Saccharomyces cerevisiae S288C: one gene and its partner. The protein of the gene in region 1 binds, or shares a complex with, the protein of each later gene. Each region holds a gene or a part of one and is shown on either strand. Other genes may lie near its edges.

The links.
Region 2: SAS2 (region 1) and SAS5 share a complex: the UniProt entries of both Saccharomyces cerevisiae proteins name them as parts of the SAS complex.

What each region holds. Positions count from the first base shown.
Region 1 is NC_001145.3:521,581-525,172, reverse strand, and holds SAS2 (histone acetyltransferase), read left to right. Parts: upstream 1-1,827; coding exon 1,828-2,844; downstream 2,845-3,592. Other genes in the region: ATP-dependent RNA helicase ECM16, read right to left, coding at 1-1,477; DLT1 (Dlt1p), read left to right, coding at 3,384-3,592. UniProt on the Saccharomyces cerevisiae protein: Histone acetyltransferase (HAT) subunit of the SAS complex, a multiprotein complex that acetylates 'Lys-16' of histone H4 and 'Lys-14' of histone H3. The SAS complex is however unable to acetylate nucleosomal histones.
Region 2 is NC_001147.6:743,702-747,281, reverse strand, and holds SAS5 (Sas5p), read left to right. Parts: upstream 1-2,000; coding exon 2,001-2,747; downstream 2,748-3,580. Other genes in the region: AIM41 (Aim41p), read left to right, coding at 1-557; SPR2 (Spr2p), read left to right, coding at 979-1,689; STE4 (G protein subunit beta), read right to left, coding at 3,101-3,580. UniProt on the Saccharomyces cerevisiae protein: Component of the SAS complex, a multiprotein complex that acetylates 'Lys-16' of histone H4 and 'Lys-14' of histone H3. The SAS complex is however unable to acetylate nucleosomal histones.

The DNA of each region.
Region 1 (3,592 bases):
TCATAAACTTGACCTTTGTGTCCTCCTTTGCGGTAGAGTCAAACCTAATTTGGTATCCTACTTTATGACCATGGTCCCCCAATTCATTAGCTACACGTTCAGCCATGGACACAGCGGCCACTCTTCTTGGTTGAGTGATACCCACCATTCCTGGGTAATCTGGAGAATCTTCGGCACCAAACCCAGCCTCATATAAAAATTGTGGGACTTGTGTAGTCTTACCTGACCCCGTTTCACCACAAATAATCACTACATCATTATGGTGAATAGCCTCCATAATTTTGTGTTCTTCACCAAATACTGGTAGTTGAATTCTTGCTTTCTGAATTTCATCTGATCTGCTAACTTCAACATAGAAGGCTTTACGGGTGGAATTCTCGTTTATTGGAACATAAGCTTCTTGGAGACCATCATCTAAATCTTCCTTTCTAATTATCGGTTTATAATCGATGTTCAAAGTGGGAGTAACTAGCTCTTGATCTCTACCTTCCAATTTTTTTATTTCTTGATTGGCCCAATCCTTGAATTCGTTAGCAACATCATTTTGGTCAAATTTTTCTGAGCCAGTTTCACTATCTGCGCTTTCAACTTCTTCGAGTGGGTTTTCACTAGGATGCATTTTGTCTTCTTCTTCCTGATCCTCCTCTTCGTCATCATCTTCAGATGTCGTGTCGAAATCCATTTCATCTTCTTTCCCATGCTTCTTCAATTCTTCCATTTCTACTCGTTGTCTCCAATTATATTTCTTCTTCGGAGTTTTGCTTTCTTTGTTTATGACTTTTATATTGCTAAACCCAAAGCTAAGACCAGATCCACCAAATTTTGCTGGTCTATGATCAATAAAACCTGATGATTTCTTCTCCTCATTGTCCGTTGGTTTCGGCATACTACCAAATGAAGCCTCGAAATCATCTTCGCCGTCATCATCCTCAGAGCTCCCTCCTTCACCATACTCATCCCAAACTTTTGGTTCATATTCTTCGTATAATATTTCATTTGTTTGTTCATTTCCTCTTCCTTGACGTTCTAAACTCAGTGCTTCTTTGAATTCTTCCTTTTTAGTCTGCCTGCCCTCTCCTAACCTTTTAGAGCTTGTCAACAAACTTGTATCTATCTTATAATCTTGAAGTTTACCAATAATTGTCTTTCTTTCCTCTCTTTTTAATTGATGTTCAATAAATTTATCCAGTCTTTTCTTCTTCAATCTCGAAACTTTCGATTCCTTTGGGGTAAATAACTCCTGTAGTTTTCTTTTCTTCATTTTCTTTTCTTCTTCAGTGAGAGGTTCAAGAATTTCCGCATTGGCATTTGGCTCCGTAGTAGAACTCTCAGCGGGAGCTGAATCTGGGTTTTCTACTCTTTCATCGTTTTCATCCTGTCTAGTGAACTGCTTATTCCTAATTCTTTTCAGTTCTTTTAATTTGGCCATATGGCCGGATCTGGCTTTTTCATTAAACCTTTTTCTGTAAGTACCCATACTTATATTTCTTAAGACACTCTATTATTAGTATTGGGTTGTAATTGCATTTTTATAGCATATAGCACTTGCTATTAACAATAATATACTAATACTATAATGAGCTTTCAATACTCAGCTCATCGCCAATGAAAATTTTCGGAACACCCAATCATCATGATATGTTAGGCGCGTAAATATGAAGAATAACAGAATCGTTAATCAGAAGAGATGATGAAATCATTAAGTCTTGTCCATATCGAACTGGATAGAGTATGTAGCGCTCTAAGAATCTGTTAAATTGAAGTTTGATTTTTTGATATTGGAGGCTCCTATTTTCTAGTTGCTTTTTGTTTTCACTCGCAAAAAAAATGGCAAGATCTTTAAGTCAATCACTCACAGCGACTACCCAGAAGCTAAAAGGAAAGAAGAATGGTGGAAAAGGCAAGAATAAGCCCTCAGCAAAAATTAAAAAAACTCAAAAAGAGATGCTATATGGAATACTGAACGAAAGGAACATAAGACAGATTCAGTTTGGACTGAATAAAAAATTCTCTACTTGGTATGGGAGCGCCGTTTATTTCGATCCTGAAACAAAAAGGCTAGGGTGCTCCGAGACCAAGGGTCAGCTTTCCTCTGTTTCTAACAGCCAATACTGGCTAGACACTCTTTTCGTTTGTGAATACTGCTTCAAATACACGGATGATCAGACGCGGTTTGTAGGACATGTTGCAAGTTGTCCATTTCAATATCGTGTTCCAGGCAAAATAAAATACAAGAGTCCTGAATATACAATAAGAAGAGTAAAAGGATCCAAGTATCAACTCTTTTGCCAATGTCTTTGTCTTTTCACTAAGCTATATCTGGACAATAAATCCATGTATTTCAAAGTAGATCATTATGAATTTTACATAGTTTATGAAACTGGATCAACAAAGCCGATGGGATTCTTTTCGAAAGATTTAGTGTCATATCAGCAAAATAATCTAGCGTGCATCTTGATATTTCCCCCATATCAACGACGTGGATTAGGCCTTTTACTTATCGAGTTTTCATACAAACTATCCCAATTAGAAGGTGTAATATCAGGGCCAGAAGTACCGTTATCACCTTTTGGACTAATCGGGTACTTGAAATATTGGTCACAGATACTCTGTTGGCACCTTATTGAAGGTGACCTCGCCCATTATGATAAAGTGACCCTGGAGGATCTTTCCATCGTGACTGGAATGAGAGTCAATGATGTTATTTTGACCTTGAAGCACTTGAACTGTATTGGGGAGAATAACCAAATTTACTTGCAGTCATTGAATAGCTGGTTGAAACTACATGGAACAAAACGGAATTGGTTCAAATTAAAAGATGAATATTTGCTGATAGATGACTAGGAATCTATTCAGGATGTAACTTAATGGCATATGTATTTCAGGATAGAATATCGCTCGATGAATTCCTGTACAGACAACTACAAACGGACGAATTTTGTCTGACCAAGTTAAGAACAGAGAACTAATGCATAAAATTTGTTTTGCTGCAAAAGTTTCCCTTTTTTTAGAGTATAAATATCTTTTATAGCAAAAGACTTAAAACAGGTTCACGTTTTTATTAGCCGTTTTTGGGCCGGTTTTTCGATGACGAACAAGGACCAAACAAATACAGCATCAAAACAAATTCTAGAATAAGAAGGCAGAAAGGGTAAGGGCATAAAGGAAACCTTCTTTTGTGGTGATGTTGAACTGGGTTTAGCCAAAATTACAACACATATTAAAGTTTTGTTATTTTGCGATAAAGTTATTGCTCTTGAGCATCAAAGAAAGTGGGAGGTTAAACAGAGGAAAACACATTGAAATTTATTCAAAAAAAGATACCGCTATACAACTTTGGCCTGATACTATCTATAGACACGAGTGTCCATACTTAGCAGTAGATGTCCGGATTCGCAAAACTCAAGTCGTGGTTATACAAAGCTTCCCTTTTCGTTTCTTTGATACTTTTGATTGGGTTTTCAGTTGTTTTACCCATAGATTCCATTGCACAAGCTTCTAAATCAGAAAACAATGCCTTTAATACGTTCATTGTTGTAGGCGCTTTAGTTGTCTTTGGCGTTTTTTGTATCTTTATTATTATTGGAAGAAT
Region 2 (3,580 bases), on another chromosome or scaffold:
TGTTCAGACAATCAATTAGGCCACTTGTTTCAAATAGACTAACCTTCATTCGTTATAACAGTTCTCCAGCCTACACGGCTGCAGTCAGCCTATTGAAAGGAGATTTGAAAAAGGCTATGATTGCCAAGGATGAGATGAAGAAGACAGCAATCAGAAATATGTTATCTGCCATAAAAAACAAAGAAATTGCTTTAAAAGGGAAGAGCGCTGATGAGTACTCCCTGTACGACATGTACTCCAAGTTAATATCTCAAAGAAAGGACTCGATCAATGAGTTCCTTGCTAACAAGAGGGACGATCTGGTGGCCAAAGAGCAAGGTGAAATGGACATTATAAAGAAATATATGGACCAATTGCCAGTGTCTTCAGAGCTTGATATTGATCAAAATGTGAAGAAATTACTGGACGCCCTCAAAACAAAGGCAGGTGAAAAAAAAGTTCAAATTAAGGAAATCATGGGAGAAATCGACTGGAAGTCATTGCCAACAGAATGGAAGACATCTCCAACTGCCATCAAAAATAGCATTGTTAAGCAATTCAAGGAAATTTTCAAATGAGGTCCTTGTTTTCTGCGCGATGAATCACAGCCCAACCTTCAATAGTAAAAAAGAAGTAAAAATATTCGTCAAAAATTATGAAAGATACTTTGTTAATACATATCACAGTTACATATTAAAATAAAAAATTAATGCTCGCTTCCTTTCACCTTTTTTTTTTTTTTTGTGGCTACGTTTTTGTGTCCCATGGCAACCATGATATGTCTTGCTAACTGTCATTTGCCCTTTGTTTATAAAAGAGGCCGCTTTTGTATAATGTATAAATTATTCTTTTCCTGAAAGTATTTGTAGTTATCCAAGACAAAAAACCAGCAGCTAACATTGCTACACATAACTAAAGAACAACACCAAGCCAGTAACTAGCACGAAAGGAAGGAAAGTAAAGTTTTGTATCCCATTCTCTTTTTTGATCCTTATTGAAATGTTAGGATTATATCTATCCTCCCTTTTCTTCGCCTTTTTTATGGCACAAGTGTTTGCTACCAAATACTCAATTACTTTTACATCAGATGAGTATGAAGAAGATGAAACAGGACAAAATGAACCTGGTCCTTTAGTTTTCCATTTGGATAAAAACTCATTACCACCAGCTCTGCTAAATCAAATGGAGTTTAATCCATACTTAGTATTAGCAGATTTACCGGAGGAGCCGCGAGCTGTTGATTCTCAAGAACATACCGATACGGTCCTTGCTTCCAAATCTGTTATAGATTTTCTGTTGGAAGATCCTCTAACAATAGTGGAGCACAAAAAGTTTTCTCAAATTGAAAGTATTCTACATGAAATTATGGAAGACAGCATACAGAAGAAAGTCGGGGCAGACGAGGTATTTGAAGAGATTCCGAAACCGAAAATTTACGCGTATGAAGATATTTTAGTAACTAATATGAGCATCATCAATAATAGTGAAATGCCGACAAGTACTGCAACATTAACGAGCACCATTTCTTATTTATCTAGTACGACAAGTTTAGCTTTATCCACGGGTGTTACCAGCGTTGAGATTTTCCCAACAATCACCCCGGGAAATATTACAACTATTGGGGGATACGAAAATTCATCATCCTCCTTAATGCCGTCGATGGGAATCTTATCTTTTCTATTTGGTCTGTACTTGTTACTTCACCCTTAAAGTTCGGCAGTCATATAATCAAAGTTTTGATAGAGAAAGCATTTATATAACATATAAGCAAATGACCAATTAATGGTATTATTTAGTGACGTTTACAGCTGGCGCGGTCGCGTTACACGGGCAAGAAAAAATCAAAGCCACATCAATAAGTCATCACCATTAGAGAGTTGCACGACAACAAACTAGAACAGCCATGTTCGGGTGAAGAGGAAGTGCAGCAACTCAAGTTTTTCTACAGACTAAATTGTTTTTACTCTTGACTCCAAAAGCCCTTTTTTTTTTTTTTGGTGCCATATAATAGACGCTCTTTTATGGATCATTCAATAGAAGTCACTTTCAGAGTAAAAACACAACAGGTTATAATACCGGAACAAAACATCCGGGGAAATGAACTTCCCTTACGTCGGTGGCAGATGGAACTCCTCATGTTAGATGCAACAGGAAAGGAAGTGGAGCCTACCATCCTCTCTAAATGCATCTACCATTTGCACTCTAGCTTCAAACAGCCCAAAAGACGACTGAACTCGCTGCCATTTTTTATCAAGGAAACCGGTTGGGGAGAGTTTAACTTAAAAATAGAATGCTTTTTTATAGGTAACGCTGGAAAGTTTAGCATTGAACATGACTTAACGTTTGAAGATGATGCATATGCAGTTGACTATACCGTTGATGTGCCTCATGAATTCTCACATCTCAATAGTGAACTATCTAAATATTTTGATCTCCCGTGGAAAGTAGTGTCTCCGGAGGAAGAAATGTCTCTTCGTATAGCCGATTTGCCCTGGATTAAAAGCCTTGCGCTTATAGATGAGGATATGATGACGGACGTGGTTCAGATGATATTGAATGATCCTGCAGTACAGAGAGCAATTGAAAATCATCCCAGAAGGGAGCAGTTTTTTATGTTTATAACACAACTACCAGATGATTTGTTAATGAAAATTCAGGCATTTTTGAAATTACCGAACAAAAATTCCACTAAACAAGAAAGGACAAATTTTGGGTCAGACGCAATACATAAGGACGAGCCAGTGAAGGCTCATAACAAGCTAAAGTAGGGACAGCCATCATGAAATTAAACAATGCCTGAAAACATAGATGATTCTAGCAAGTTGGTCAAATAAGTCAGTGAATAATACTGTTTCCAAAACGATTGAAAAGAATTTTTGAGTGCATGACACTTTTGTTCGTTTTTGTTTCGTTTATCCAAAGAGAAAAAGGAAGCAAATGACAATGCTTTGAATTTTCATTGTTGAATGTTTTGACTTACTTTATTAAAGGACGTTTTTGCGCTTCCACAGAACTAATGTTACTGTTGTTATTCTATGTAAATATGGGATGGGTGTAGGTATGTATATTTATATAATAGCATCCATTGATAATTACTGCTCACAGTATTTCCAATTCGAAGCTATTGATAACCTGGAGACCATATTTTCATGGTTGAGTCCCATGAACCTGTACATACAGCTAACCCATCTGGACTCGAGCGCACACCAGTGACTCTGCCACCATGACCTTCTAATTTTCCAACAATCTCTCCTTTTAATACATCCCACACAACACAACCAATGTCTGTATAGCATGAGTACATCAATCTTCCAGATGCACTAAAATCTAAAGAAACAACGCCTTGGTTGTCTAGATAGCTTGAGCTTGTTGATTTTAAAGTTTGTGGCGATTGCGCGGTATTGTACTCCATGTTAGCTGCCATATAAGTAGGGGTAGGGGTACGTTCTTCATAACCTCGAAAAAGAGAAAAAGTAGCAATAGAACAGTCCGACCTTAAATCATACATATTTATCGCACCATTGTCACTTCCTGCAACAATCGACATCCCGTCTTTGAAAAAACGAAGTGCATTAATATCACTATCGTTAACGTAAAAGCT